Anolis sagrei: one gene and its partner. The protein of the gene in region 2 purifies or fractionates together with the protein of the main gene of each other region. This does not show direct contact. Links are inferred from orthologs where the notes say so. Each region holds a gene or a part of one and is shown on either strand. Other genes may lie near its edges.

Region 1 (7,841 bases), on a different chromosome or scaffold from region 2:
GAAGTTTTCTTTGGACATTTTGATTGAATCACAAAGGGACAAGGCTGACCCCCTGGGGTCCCTGTTTGTTCCCTTCTCAAAATCCATCAGAAGACACACCTTATCAGGTCTAAGGCAGGAAAACCTTTCATAATGAAATCAACCTTTGCTGGCCAAAACAATGCCTAACCAATCAGAGAGAAGCCGAGTGGAGAGGGGCGGGCGGAAAAATTTGAAATGTTTTCCTGTATTTTGCCTATAAATATGCCTGTATCCCTGTGCTCCTGCATGCTTGTGGTGGAATGATTCCTGCAATGCATCCGATCTCAGCTGAATCGCTAATAAACACCTCGATGCCCCTTCTTCGCTTTGGCAAGGGGCTCATTTCAATTATTAATCTATATATATAAATTTCCTACTGGCGTCCAACGGGGAAGCAAAACTCTAAAACCTCTCCACAAAACTCTACCAAAATTGCCATGCCCCAAGGACAACCCACTAGGTACAAACTAATCCACTCTGAAATCAAAACCACACAACAACAACCACAAAAAACGGGAAAGCAACTGAGCATGCGCACTGGCGCAAACTCCCCGACGTGCGCGCACATATGGCCCCTCACTCTCCCCCCCTCGGCGCGGCACACACACATACACCCGCACGCGCGCGCCCCCTCACCCCCCCGGCGCGGCACACACACACACATGCGCGCGCACCCCCTCACCCCCCCGGCGCGGCACACACACACACACGCATGCGCCCTCACCCCCCCCCGCACGGCACATACACACACACGCGCGCCCCCCTCATCCCCCCCGCGTGGCACACACACACACGCGCCCCCCTCACCCCCCCCCCCCCGCGCGGCACACACACACGCCCCCCTCACCCCCCCCCCCGCGCGGCACACACACACACACGCCCCCCTCACCCCCCCCCCCACGCGGCACACACACACACGCGCCCCCCTCACTCCCCCCCCCGCACGGCACACACACACACACGCCCCCCTCACCCCCCCGGCGCGGCACACACACACGCCCCCCTCACCCCCCCCCCCGCACGGCACATACACACACACACACACGCGCCCCCCTCACCCCCCCGGCGCGGCACACACACACGCGCGCGCGCGCCCTCATCCCCCCCCCCCGCGCGGCACCCTTTCTAAACCCATCCCCCCTCCCTTCCTCCCTCTTACCCCTCACGTTACCTCCAAGCCACGCCCCCTTCTAATCTGTCAAGGAAGAAGGGAGAGAAAGAGGGAGGGAAAGAAAGAAGGAAGGAATGAGGTAGAAAAGGAAGAAAGGAGAGAAAGAGGAAGGGAAAGAAAAAGGGGGGGGAGGAAGGAAAGTTAGAGAAGGAAGAAGAGAAGGAAAGAAAAAAGGGAAAGAAGGAAGGAAAGAAGGAGCGAAGGAAGGGGGGAAGATGTAGAGAAAGAGGGAGGGAAAGAAAGGAAGAAAGAGAGAAGGAAGAAAAGAGAGATTGCAGAAGAGAACAAGGAAGAAGGAAGGAAAGAGGGAGCGAAGGGAGGGGGGAAGATGTAGAGAAAGAGGGAGGGAAAGAAAGGAAGAAAGAGAGAAGGAAGAAAAAAGAGACAGCAGAAGAGAAAGAAAAAGGGGGAAGGAAGGAAAGCGATAGAGAAGGAAGGAAGGAGAGAAGGAAAGACGGGAAGGAAGGAAGGAAGGAAACAGGGAGTGAAGGAAGGAGGGAAAGAAGGGGAGATAGGGGGAAGGTTGGCCACAGCAATGTGTGGCGGGTACAGCTAGTATTAAATAAAATTGCTGGAATCGGGCTTCTCTGAAGGCTTGCCAAGGTAGCGTTCCCTCTTTGGTGGGAACTAAGGGTCATCTCCCCTTGGAGTTGACCTCCCACCCTAAAGTCTAGTTTGGCTTCACCAGTGCTGGGCCAGGCCAGGCCAGGTGGGTCCCACCCAACGCAGTGTAGCAGCCTGTGTCATCCCTGCCTTGTGCCCGTCTGCATTGGGAGATGAGTCAGAAGCCAAGCCACTTTTGAGACCCCGGTTCAGAAATGCCTTCTGCTCCAAACTTGAAACGGGCAGGAAGGGAGAAGCAACTGGAGGAACGCAAGCCATGATGCCACAAAGCTGACAAGGAGAGAGAGAGAGAGCCAAACACCTCCACCCATTTCCAGGAACTGCCAGGGGTCATTTCCCCCAAAATCTTCAAGAACAGGCCAACGTCTCCTCAAGTTCCATCATTTGATCCCCACTCCAAAGGCATCAGATCCCGTCTGATCCTGGATGAAAAGCAGGTTCTGCCTGGGTGGGTCTCCTGGGGGTGACCTTTCAGAGGAAGGAAATCACCTCCTTGGATGAAATGCGTGGGGCTGGCACCAACACACACGTGGCCTTGACACCCCAAAACACTGAGTCCTGTCTGGTTTGGGGAGTTAAGCAGTGTCAGCCCTGGTTTGTAATTGGGTGGGAGACCGCCAGGGAATCCCAGGTTCTGTAGACTGCGAGTTGAAGGAAGGGACTGGCCAAGCCACCTCTGGGTCTCCCTCGTCAAGGAAATCCCATTGAAATGCTTGGGGTGCCTATCAGTCAGGAGGGGACTTGAAGGCCCAGACCCACACGATGCCGGACCTTGGTCTCTTTCCTCCAATTTGGATGGCCAGCTCCTGGAGGATGCTGGGAGTGACAATCCCGGAAGCAGCTTCCCCAAGGCCAGGAGGCCTGTCTGTGAATCCCAGGTGCCGTATTTACTTGAGTCTAACACACCATCGACTCTAATGCGCACCTCAATTTCCAAAACCCTGAAACCAAAATAGAGTATTTGCTGACCAACATAATGTTTAGCGGCGAAAGATGCACTCTTTGTAGTTTGGCCCCAAAAGGTGCGCATGAGAGTGGCTGCCTGATTAGGGTTCCTTCGTTAAAAACAGAACGGGAGGGAGCGCCAGACCGTCCAGCAACGGAACTGTCTTGGTTCAATGCCATGGAGTCATCTAATTTGACACGGTTTTGAGCCTTCTTGGCCAAAGAATGCTGATGCCTCACCAAAGTCCACATTCCCAGGTGACGTGGCCATTCAAGTAGAGGCGAGGCCAATCAAAGAGGAGCTCCAGGGGGTCCTGAAGCCATTCTAATATGTCACCACCCTAATTTTGGCAATGCCATTGAGCCAGAAAACAGAAAGCATTAGATTCGAGTAAATAAAACATTGGCGGCAAAAAAAGCCAATGGGATTTTGGCCTGCATCAAGAGGAGCCTAGTGTCTAGATCTAAGGAAGTGATGCTCCCCATGCTCTATTCCGCCTTGGTTAGACCACACCTGGAATATTGTGTCCAATTCTGGGCACCACAATTCAAGAGAGATATTGACTCTAAGCTGGAATGTGTCCAGAGGAGGGCGACTAAAATGATCAAGGGTCTGGAGAACAAGCCCTATGAGGAGCGGCTTAGGGAACTGGGCATGTTTAGCCTGAAGAAGAGAAGGCTGAGAGATGATAGCCATGTATAAATATGTGAGAGGAAGCCACAGCGAGGAGGAGGGAGCAAGCTTCCTTTCTGCTTCCCTGGAGACTAGGATGCAAGGGAACAATGGCTTCAAACTACAAGAGAGGAGATTCCATCTGAACATGAGGAAGAACTTCCTGACTGTGAGAGCCGTTCAGCAGTGGAACTCTCTGCCCCGGAGGGAGTGTGGTGGAGGCTCCTTCTTTGGAAGCTTTTAAGCAGAGGCTGGATGGCCATCTGTCAGGGGTGATTTGGATGCAATATTCCTGCTTCTTGGCAAAATGGGGTTGGACTGGATGATGGCCCAGGAGGTCTCTTCCAACTCTTTGATTCTAGGATTCTATGAAATAGAGGATTTCTCAGACAGGAAAGGGCACCGCGTCCTCTGAAGGTTCCTTGCCCAAGAAAAGCCCCCCTCTAGATCACTCTACGTCCGCAGGCGACTTGGAGGCCCAGAACAAGAATGCCTCTGGCCTTCCTGACCCATTGCTGAGCCCCTCCCATTTCCATCCCACAGGCCCCCTTGCCTCCGCAAATCCGGGCCCTTCCAAAATGGGGCAATGTGTGCCTTGTGGGTGTTAGTGGGGCGCCCATCCCAAGACCTTCTTCCACCTTTCCATGCAGGCTGAAAGGGGGGGTCCTTCCATGGGGGGAGTGTAAAGGCCGGCCTATGTGTATATTGGGATGTTGGGGGGCGGGGAAGGAGACCGGGCGTCTTCTCTCCCCGCATTCTGGGCATGGAGGAAACCGGATCCCGGTGTCAACAAATGAGGCCGGAATATTCGGGATGCAAGGAGGCAGCTGGGGAGGGGGCTCGGCATGGCATGCGAGGGGGGTGGGTGCTCGGCATGCCTTCCCCCCGGGGGCCCTCCCCACGGCAGAGACCTCAGTGCAGGGGCCAAGGGAGCAGACCCCCTCTTCCCCCTCCCCCCAAGGAGGGAGACCACCCAACCCTGCGGCCTCCTTCTCCATATGGGGAGGGTCTATTTTTACCCCTCCGAGGATGGGGCTGCCGTCAGTCCCTTGCCATTCACTCAAGTCAGGCCAAGGGTAGGATTTCGCTCTCCCTGAGGGTCCCACACACACACGCACTCACACACACATATCTGCACAAGACACAGCCAGGAGTGGCTTGGCTAAATTTGGTAAAATGCCTGGCCGGCCAATGAGCAGCCGAGGAGGAAGGCCATTGGCTGACCAAAGAGCCACCTCCCTTGGTGCCCAATGAGGGCAGTGTGGGCGGAGCCGTGCCCAGTTGTCCAGGTATAAAAGGCCGTGCCAGAGCCTCGGACGGAGCGGTTTGCCATCTGACCCGGAGAAGCAGGTGTGGGACCCGTCGTCGTCGTCACCAGTGGCCCTTCTCTCTCTCGCTCTCTCTCAGTGGGGTGCCCTTAGCCTGCCAACATGGTAAGACCACGGGTTAGGGTTAAGGTTGGGGTTTGCATGGTCAAGGAAGTGGTTTGCATGGTCAAGGAAGGGCGGTTGGGGCTGGACATGAGGGCAGAAGATGGCAAGGGACAGGGCAAAGGTTACGGTGAAGCTGAAGGACTCTCTGGTTGAAGCTGTTGGTGGTGGGGTCATTGCAAGGAGTGGAGTGGGGCATTTGGGTCTGGGGGAGGCCGATGGGGCCAAGGAGGGTCTCAGAGTCATCGAAAGGAGCAGAGCCAAGAGTCCCCTTGGCTGGGTCAGATCCTCTCCTTCAGGGTGGACAGCTCCGAACTCTACAGCCGTGTGGGCTGGACGGGTCTGGCTTGGGAGTCCAGCCAAGGACGCAGCAGCAGGGAAAGCGAGCTGCCGGTCACAAGGAGGCTTCATGCTTGCCCACCCACCCACCCGCCCGCCCACCAGAGACGAAGCCCCAAGGAGTAACCCGATCCGAGGCCGACAGGTGTTGCGTGGAGCAGCTGGTGTCCAGCCCTGGCTCCCTACAAGGCCCGAGCCCGGGGGCCACGGCTAAGAATAGCCCGGGATCAAGGAGGAGCGCCCTCCCCCCCATCGCCACAGGCGCCTGAAGATCCAAGTGGACAATGGCATCTGGCCGGAGAGGACGAGGAGGAGGAGGAGGAAGAGGAGCAAGGCCAGGATGGAGCAAAGCAGCCATGAAGCCTCCAGAAAGGCCACCCAATGGAAGCCAAGTTATCCTGGACTTGCCCAAGGGACCGGACAGACCCCACTTTGCAAAGGCTGCCCTGGAATGGGATGCTTTGGGGCATTTTTGAGCCAATGATGTCCACCTTGGCCACATGACTGGCCGGTCACCCTGGTCCACAAGGGCCTGGAGCATCTCTGCAGGGAGATGCCTGGAGGCAGCAGCCTAGTTCTGTGCGGGGAATTCAAGTCCATCTTTCTGGCCAAAGCCAGTGAAGCCCTATAAGAGCCAAGGGATCTTTGGTGGTCCACAGAGAGGGGCCCAATGGGGACAGGGAGGGAGTCTGGCCGTCTGTCGGGAGGGGTCAGGTGTTGCCCTTTCCTGGACTTTGTGCTTGCCTTGCAGACGGACCAGCAGGCGGAGGCCCGGTCCTACCTCAGCGAGGAGATGATTGCTGGTGAGTCAAAAGGTTGGAGATGGGGTGGTGTCTCTGGGGGCAAGGAAGCCTGGCTTGGCCCTGGGTCAGGGGAGAAAGCCCACTCATTGGAGGGCCAGCAGTGACCTGGGTGGGTCAAGCGCTTGACCATTGCCGTGGCCAGAGCAGCTCCCTCACAGGACTCACTCCGCAGCCTGGCTGCCTGCCTTTCTCCCTTGCGGAGCCACAGAGAAAGCAGCTGGACATCCATCCATGAAGCTGACCAATGACAAACAGTCCCAGGGGTGGACAGAGGGTGACACGACACCAGGCCCTGAGAGCATCCCCAGTGCAGAGGGAAAGGTGCCGCAATCCCTTACAAAGAGGCAGCGGAAATCCAACTGGTGTGAGGGCAAAGGCCTTGACGGAGGGAGCAAGGGGTCAGAGGGTCAAGTGCTTGACCCTTGCTAGGGCCCCTTCTGCCTAGCCCTGACCTTCTTGCCCCCAATCCCCAGGAAGGCTTTGGAAGGGAAGGAGCAGGTGGAAGGGGCACCCAAAGGCCACCTAGCCCAGGTGCCTTGAGAAGGGCATTCCTTTCCTGGCAGAAGGGGGTCAGACTAGGTGGCTCCTGGGAGCCCTTCTTGCAAGATAATTCACCATGGCATCCAATGACAAACAGCCCCAGGAATGGAAAGAGGGGGGGGGGAAGAGAGTGACCAGACATCAGGCCCTGAGAGCATCCCCAGTGCAAAGGGGGTCGGAGGGTCAAGTGCTTGACCCTTGCTAGGGCCCCTTCTGCCTAGCCCTGACCTTCTTGCCCTCAATCCCTGGGGAGGCTTTGGAAGGGAAGGAGCAGGTGGAAGGGGCACCCAAAGGCCACCTAGCCCACCTCCCTTCTCAGAGGTGCCTTGAGCAGTGCGTTCCCTTCCTGGCAGAAGGGGGTCAGACTAGATGGCCCCTGGGAGCCCCTTCCAGCAAGACAATTCTGCCGAGAGCCACAGCTCCACCTTGCCATTCCCGTCCATGCCATTTCCCTTCATTATTATGGGTTGTTTTTACTGCCTGCGTTTCCAAGGGGCCTCAGGGAACTCACAGTTGGGGGGGGGGGGATGCCAAAGATAGAAACAGTTAAAGGCAGGTATGGGCCATCTTCGGGCCTCTCTCCATGGGTGTTAAGCAGCTGAGATGGAAAGGAAGGGGCCTGAGGCTGTGGGGAATGATGGGAGTTGGAGTCCAACACCCATGGAGGGAGGGAGGGCCCAAATTGGAGGAGACGCTCAACTTCTCTTGAAGTTGCCCAAAGGCCAGGCGGAAAGACACTATCAGATCCCTCCTGACAGATAGGCATGCATCCATCCATCCTCTGCTTAAAAACCTGTAGCAAAGGGGAGAGAATCCTGGGGTCCTAGAGAAGGAAGGGACCCCAAAGGCCATGCAGTCCCACCCCCTTCAGCCAGGCAGGAAGATGATTCAACCCCTCCCAACAGATTATGACCCAGTAATAACACTTTATTTACATTCTGTGATGAAATGAAAAGGATGTGTAGTTCTAGAAACTATGCCATGCAGACGAACAGTACATAACAAGTGGTTTACTCTTCGTAACTCAGAACAACATATGTACAATCCTGTGGTCAGTTGCATTAATTCACATAATGTCCTGTTATGAGAGATTTAGAAAGGTTTTTCTTTTGTCCACGTAGAGAAACTCCTTCAGCAGCTCGTGAAGCAAAAGCACACTCCAAACTCCGTCTCCCTCTGCTTCTCTACAAGCACCGGCATAGCTCAAGCCTGAAAAATGTAACAGTATTCAAAAGTCCCAGGCTCGGCTATTTCTCCGGGCATCGCCCAACCAATCAGCTTCATGCATCTTATTT
Region 2 (7,900 bases):
TAAAAATATACAATTATTGGGCAATCCAACAAAGAGAAGATCTAAAACCTTCCTCCACAGACTAGTTTACACTTGCCACCAAGCCTTAGAACACTATTTTGTAGAACTGACTTTTTCAGTTATATGAACAGGAAACCATTAATGCATGAAAGATTTGTATGGAAAAATGATAACTCGAGAGACAGAAATTTGAAGAAAGTTTGGCTTCTTCTCAATGCCACTCCTTAGCTGCCTGCCTAATCTTATTTCACAGTCTTCATAATAATATGCCTGAGTGCATATACATATTTCACAAATGTGTTTCACATATATGTCAATGATCCTCAGAAAGTTTGGTGAATTTAGGATTAAACTCATAGAAAACATGAGAGTCTCAAACAAATCGAACAGCTACTCTAAGGCTATCTATAGTTTGTAACTAGACTCAGAAGGGATATTCTCTGATCGAATGAAGCACTACACCACAATAAAGTCCCGAGACATCAGGCTTTTGGGTTTTAATTTATCATCTACACTGTTCCATGGAACTTCTCTCCAGCCCAAAAGAATAACATTGTGTTAACATTTGTGTAATAAACCTCTTAATAAAAGCAAGATTCTTCAAAACAACAGAAGACAACTACAGGTTATCATGGTCTGAAAGTCTGAATTCTTCTTTTAATATAGCCGAGGTCAAAAAGTTCAAAAGTCTGCATACTGTAGAGATATGAAAACTAGGAAAGCAAGTTTCAGATAAAAGAAGATAGATAACAAGCAGTTAGTTTGAGAATGGATTATAGTTAAATACTAAAGATTAGTTAGTGTTTTCCCTTTTCTGCAGTGAGTAAATCCAAAGGGATACTATAGTCAATATATGCAGTAAGAGCATGAAGAGATCCATGGTGGTATGATAGCACCTTTCCTTCTTTTATTCTCAGTAGCATGTATTCTGTTTAGTAACCAACAATAGCCTTACCTTCTATCAGTTTCTCATTATTTGCTTTTAAAGCTATCCAGGTTGTTGCCTATCACTGGATCTTGTAATAGTGAAATTGCCTTGTTTACTATATATTGTATAAAGAAGCAATTATTTTACCTGTCATGTATCTCATACAATTCAGCTTTATTCGATGACCCAGTTATTAGTGTTATGAGAAGCAAAAAAAAAGTCTCCTTATCCAGTTTAATACTTTCCCTACACTATGCATAATTTTAAACACATTTATCCTACTCCTCCCCATTCGCCTTTAAGATGAAAATATTTCACCGGTAGTTGACAGATATTAAGTATCAGAATGATTTCAGAACTGATGAGAGAAAAAACAAAAAAGCACTACAATGAAAGCATGCCCTGTAAAAAACAAAAACATGCACACACGCACACAATACAAATAGCAATTTTATTAGAGACTCCTAATGTCTTCATGATAGGAAGACAAAGAAACTGTTTATTTCATCCAGGTCTTATGATAGAACTACTACTTGGTAAAGTATGTAGGTAACTACCAACATTTGGTGGGCTCTGTGAAAAGGTCTGCAGTGTAGCTTTTCTGGACAGGCGACCTTCCAAATCAATAGTGCACCAAAGCAGCATCCTTTCACACACAAAACCCTAACCCTAAACAAAGCCCCAAAACACATTGACAGAAGAAGAGACACAAAGCTTAGTCTGCAGTGAAGGGTAGACATCTAACATTTTTAAGAGCAGTGTAGAAGGACACGGTTAGAAACATGCCACTTCTCTTTTTCTGCAGGGCTACTTACTGCTTGCAAAGCAATCCTTTTTCTAAATTACTCTCTCCTTTCCCTGAGACACAGAGATAAGAGATTATGTTTTTCCAAAAACCATCTGTGCCAATGGAGAGGCTGAACAGAACTCCAGCTTTTACACACCTTTGACAATTATAATAAAATTACAGGAAGAGAAAAAAGCACAAGAACAATATAACTTCAAGGTCATGTTAATCCAGCTCTCCTGTGTCTCAGTCCATGAAATAAATGACACTTTGAATCACATCCTACCCATTCCCTTCACAAATGTCCCATCTTATGTTCTTGAATTGTATGCATTATTTGTTGTGGAAAGTGTGCCTGTCAACTTATGGTGACTGGCCCACATGAATTTCATAGGATGTTATTAAGGCAAGAAATATTTAAAGGTGGGTTTGCCAGTTCCTTCCCCTAAAATAAAGCCTAGCCCATCCAAGCACTAACCAGGGTTGACCTTGCTTAGCCTCCAGACTGAAACAAAATTTGGTGCTTTGGAGTATTCTCTGTCTGTGGGGTACGTCTAAACCATAGAATGAATGCGGCTTGACACTATATTCACCGGTATGGCTCAAGGCTATAGGATTGAGGGAGTTATAGTTTTACAAGGTCTTTAGCCTTTTCTGCCCAAGAGTGCTGGTGCCTTACTAAAGTACAACCCCCAGGATCCCATAGCATAAAGCCATGACCGTCAAAGTGGTGTAAAACTGCATTAATTCTACAGTATAGATACAGTATATAGGGTTGTATAGTGTTTTAAAATTTATTTAAATATGTGTTTATATTGTTGTGCTATTATGAGATCACTTTCTGTGTATATCATTTATTGTCTCAATTTGCTTGATTGTAAGCCACCCTGAGTCCCTCTGGGGAGATGGTGCGGGGTATAAATAAAGTTTATTATTATTATTATTATTATTATTTATTATTATTATTATCCAATATTTACATCCCATTATTTTGCCTGGTGGTGTGTGTATATACATGTGTATAGGTTTCCCTTGACATTAAGTCTAGTCGTGTTCAACTCTGGGGGGTGGTATTCATCTCCATTCCTAAGCCAAAGAGCTGGCGTTATCCATAAAGGCTCCCAAGGTCATGTGGCCAGCATTATTTATTTATGACATTTCTATGCCGTCCTTCTCACCCCGAAGGGGACTCAGAGCGGCTTACAAAATATATATACATACAATATATTATATTATTAGCATAGTACAATATCAGTATTATATAATACTATATTGCACTATATCATTATATTGCAATATTATTAGTAGTATTTTATTGTATTACATTATAATATTATAAGTGATCACAACAATATGCATTTATTTATTTATTTATTTATTTATGGCATTTGTATGCTGCCCTTCTCACCCCGAAGGGGACTCAGAGCGGCTTACAAGATATATATACATGCATGACCTTCCCACTGAAGTGGTACCTATTGATCTACTCACATTCGCATGTTTTTGAACTGCTAGGTTGGCAGAAGGTGGGGCTAATAGTGGGAGCTCACCCCGCTCCCGGATTTGAACTACGAACCTTTCAGACAACAAGTTCAGCAGCTCAGTGGTTTAACCCGCTGCATCACCGGGGGGGGGGCATACATGTATGTACACACACACACAATTTATATATTTATTTTTATTTACATATCCTGTCTTTCTCCTGGTATGGGGTCAGATGGATGGATCCTCTCCCTCCCTTTCTTCCATAAACTGTAAATCTACGATCTATTAGCATTCTGAATTAATCTTTGCACTACGTATTTTAATAAAAAGCCTTTTTAAGGTGTTGTGTTTTATCCGGGTGTTGTATAACCATTCTGGAACAGTAAGAAGAGGTGGGGAAGAAATAAATAATTATTGACCATCAATATCAGGCTTAAGCGGCTGAGGGGGAAAAGGAAGGGGCCTGAAGCTATTAGGAATGGTGGGAGTTGAAGTCCAAAACACTTGGAGGGCCCAAGCTTGCCCATGCCTGATCAATCTCATGCTTACAAAACATCCCAGGAAGAAGATGCCTGGCCCAAGGTCACACAGAGGAGTGGGGATTGGAAATCCTCCTCCCACACGAGGATCAGGTGAGTAGATCCCCTCACAACCTCACATCGACTCCCTTGCACTATAAACATGGTGTGAGGGAAGGGGTGGCCAAATACAAAGGTCCCAGGACCTTATTGTATAAAAGGAGGGCCCTCTGCCTTCACGTGTGGATACCACCAGAGGCACTCCAAGTGGCCAGATGCTGGTCAAAGGACATTTAATCAACTACCAAACTCACAAATTGTGTATTCTGTCTGTCTGTTTGCTTTGTTCTGTTAGAAATGTAATATAATATGACTGGTCGTCCTGACACGACAAATAAATACCGCCAGAGGCCTCCAGTCTTCACGCGTTTCCGCGCTCACACGATACACTGACCCGGGTCACCTCCAATGAGCCTCGCCTTTCCCTACCTGCTGGGTGATTGTACAGAGGGCGCAGCCGGGGAGGCAGCATGAGCTCAATCCGGTCCAAGAACCGGTGGTAGGAGGCGCGGAGCCCCGCGGTGGCGGCGCCCGCCATCCTGTGTTACTCCGGCGGCGAAGACCCCTGCCACTCGTCCGCGTCCTCCTCGCTCTCCTAACCGAGTGAGCCAAGAGCCAGGTGGTGGGACGATCCCGCTTTCCTTCTCCGTGATTGGCTCGCCGGATAGGACGTGGGCGGGGCTTGGACAGCCGATCCTTATGCTATTGGTTAATGTTCCTTACAAGCTTCTCACCCGGCGTCGATGACAACATCACGGTCCTCTTTTGATGACGACAGAAGGGAGCGGGACGACAGTTGATGACGACACCGGCTATTCTTTTGGAAATAATCAACATGTTTCTCTACGCTTCTTGGCGGCGAAGGACACACACCAAAGCGTTTTTTGAGCAGACATGAGGGAAGTTTTTAAAAACAAAAAAGAAGCTGCTCTTTGAAAGGCGGTTGTTTGTTTTCCCAAAGGAGGTCATGACAGGAAGGGACGACCGCTGCCACCTGACGCCATTTTCTCCCAACTGTCAGAAAGGACGCGGAGGGAAGTCTCGCGATGCTTTGGAAAGGACGTCGCGGGAATTCCTAGAGGAGAAAGGGGGCGGAGCCTACCGCCGCGGTGGCTCCTTGCTTGTTTTGCAGGAGAGGACGAGAGAAGAAGGGAATCGCTTGCGGCCCGGCGGCTCGTGGCGGAGGAGGAGGTGGTGCGCGCGCGCGCCCTCCCTTTCCCTCCCTACTAGGCGCGCGCCCGCGGGTTTCCATGGTGAAGGTGGCGGAGCGCGTGCGGGCGGCCTGCGGAATGGGCCGCGGCTGATGCCTCCTTCTCCTGCTCGTTCTTCTTCTTCGGCGGCGAAAGCGACCCTCGTCCTCCTCCTCGTCGTCCTCCTGGTGCCATGTCCCGGGGGTGCTGCCCCCACCTGCTGTGGGATGTGAGGCAGCGGAGTTTGGGCCTGGAGGAGCCCGGCCTGCTGAGGAGACGGTACCTAGGTGAGGGAAGGGCAAGGCCTGGCGCCTGAGTAGAGGGGGAGGCCGGAGAAAATGGTGGAGCGGCCCGCGGTGTGTGTAGACCAGGCATAGGCCAACTTCGGCCGTCCAGGTGTTTTGGACTTCAACTCCCACAATTCCTAACAGCCGGTAGGCTGTTAGGAATTGTGGGAGTTGAAGTCCAAAACACCTGGACGGCCGAAGTTGGCCTAAGCTTGGTGTAGGGAGAGAGTGCGACTTGAATGCCCTTTAAATATCTTCACTCTTATACAGCCTCTTTGGAAGCCAAGTGCAGGCAGCCCCTAAGCTACAAACAAGATGGGTTTGTTCTTAAGTTGAATTTGTTTGTAAGCTGGGACAGGTACAGTAGAGTAAAATGATAACACTATAATAAGTAGTGTAAAATAATAAATGTAATAATAACAATAATATATTATAACTTTATTTGTACCCCGCTAGCATCTCCCGAAGGCCTCAAAACACAATACAACAATACAATACCTAACGCAAATTAAAAACAGTTAAGCAATATGAACAACAACAATAAAACAATACATCAAGACACTATAAAACTGGGTAAAATAATAGAGTAAAATAAATATAATATAACAATAATAAATAGAGTAAAATAATCATAGAATCAAAGAGTTGGAAGAGACCTCATGGGCCATCCAGTCCAACCCCATTCTGCCAAGAAGCAGGAATATTGCATTCAAATCACCCCTGACAGATGGCCATCCAGGACTTCGGTTTAAAAGCCTCCAAAGAAGGAGCCTCCACCACACTCCGGGGCAGAGAGTTCCACTGCTGAACGGCTCTCACAGTCAGGAAGTTCTTCCTCATGTTCAGATGGAATCTCCTCTCTTGTAGTTTGAAGCCATTGTTCCGCGTCCTAGTCTCCAAGGAAGCAGAAAACAAGCTTGCTCCCTCCTCCCTGTGGCTTCTTCTCACATATTTATACATGGCTATCATATCTCCTCTCAGCCTTCTCTTCTTCAGGCTAAACATGCCCAGCTCCTTAAGCCGCTCTTCATAGGGCTTGTTCTCCAGACCCTTGATCTTTTCAGTCGCCCTCCTCTGGTTAGGAGTAATAGTAGTAATAATAATCACAAGCTACACAAAAAGGCGTAAAATAGACAGTACAGAAATGCATTTAATTTAACAGAACTGTTTTTCAGTTGACCTGGATCCCAGAACAAGGAATTTCCAGGACAACATCATGGTTCTGCCAATTGGCAGAGCAGGGAATCTTTCAGACAACACAATCGCAACCCACAGGCCCCCATCAGCTCATCCCTCAGCAGGTCATTCCCATCTTGCAAATGTTTATGTCTGGCTGCCTCCTTTTATGAAGGAGGCATTTACCTTCCTCATCCACCTCCAGCCATTGGTGGGGGGCTTAGACCACCGAAATGACTTATTCGGCCCATTCTATGACGAGGTAATCCTGGGGGTCCTCTTCCATCATCGTATCTTGAAGTGGAAGAAGATGTACACCCTCTCGTCAGGTCTGGATGAATAATGCTCTGGAAAAACATAACGACAAAGCCTGCTATTTCCCAAAAGAAGTCAGTTATAGATGAGAAGCTCCATGGAGCTTGGCTCTGGTTATCCAACACTTGTCCGTTCGAAATGTAAACCATGGCTGTGCTGCGCCACTTCCTCGCAACACCTCTGCCCCACAATCCCAGATCCGACTCCCTACGAGGTGTTCCCTTTTGCCCCGCCCCTTCACGAGGAAAGCCCAACAATAATAATAATACACTTTATTTATATCCCCGCCACCATCTCCCCAGAGGGGGGACTTACATGAGGCCAAACCTGGTGATACATTACAGCAAAATAAATACAGAGTGGCAAAAAATAACATCACAATGAAATAAGTAAAACATACAAGTAAAATAAAACAGTGCAAAATAAGAAAGTGAAAATCAAACACAGTGGGCGGGCCAAATGTACGACATAAAATGACAAAACTTTGGATTAGATAACAATTAAAAAGGTATATTTGTAAGGGAGGAGCTCATAGGGGACGGAACAATGGAGTCAGGCCTTCAGTAAGGTGGGGGTAATAATATCAATATCAAGTAGTGAAAAATAATAAATGTAATAATAATAAGAGTAAAATAATAAATGTAATAAAAATAATAATAACAGAGTAAAATAACCAATAATCTTGATTCAAGTATAAGCCAATTGCAGGCTTTTTCAGCCTAAAAAAGGCCTGAAAAACTCATACTCAAGTATATATGGTATACACACACATATACACACAAACACATGCACACACACACACATAACTCTTCATTTATACCCAGCTTTTCTTCCTAAATGGGACCCAAAGCGGCTCACAACATATATATATATATATATTTAAAAAATACAGATCCAGCATACATATAACAAGAGGCCCCTGGTGGCACAGCGGTTAAACCACTGAGCTGCTGAGCTTGCTGACCGAAAGGTTGACTCCCGCTGTTAGGCCCAGCTTCTACCAACCTTGCAGTTCAAAAACATGCAAATGTGAGTAGATCAATAGGTATCACTTCGGTGGGAAGGTAACTGCACTGCATGCAGTTATGCCAGCCACATGACCTAGGAGTCATCTACTGACTAAGTCGACTCTTCGGCTTAGAAATGGAAATGAA

The links. The genes of interacting proteins can lie anywhere in the genome.
Region 1: the proteins of DCAF6 (region 2) and TNNC2 purify together in Homo sapiens (affinity purification with mass spectrometry; 3 studies listed by BioGRID and IntAct, with this or other methods). This does not show direct contact. The link is inferred for Anolis sagrei from reciprocal best matches to the Homo sapiens genes DCAF6 and TNNC2.

The regions. Positions count from the first base shown.
Region 1 is NC_090024.1:248,918,575-248,926,415, forward strand, and holds the start of TNNC2 (troponin C, skeletal muscle), read left to right. Parts: upstream 1-4,746; 5' UTR 4,747-4,864; coding exon 4,865-4,867; intron 4,868-5,954; coding exon 5,955-6,006; intron 6,007-7,841. UniProt on the Homo sapiens protein: Troponin is the central regulatory protein of striated muscle contraction. Tn consists of three components: Tn-I which is the inhibitor of actomyosin ATPase, Tn-T which contains the binding site for tropomyosin and Tn-C.
Region 2 is NC_090023.1:51,576,088-51,583,987, reverse strand, and holds the start of DCAF6 (DDB1- and CUL4-associated factor 6), read left to right. Parts: upstream 1-4,849; 5' UTR 4,850-4,969; intron 4,970-5,124; 5' UTR 5,125-5,161; coding exon 5,162-5,255; intron 5,256-6,622; coding exon of another isoform or gene 6,623-6,895; exon of another isoform or gene 6,896-6,926; intron 6,927-7,900. Other genes in the region: MPC2 (mitochondrial pyruvate carrier 2), read right to left, coding at 4,208-4,316; SELENOK (selenoprotein K), read right to left, coding at 6,623-6,895. UniProt on the Homo sapiens protein: Ligand-dependent coactivator of nuclear receptors. Enhance transcriptional activity of the nuclear receptors NR3C1 and AR. May function as a substrate receptor for CUL4-DDB1 E3 ubiquitin-protein ligase complex.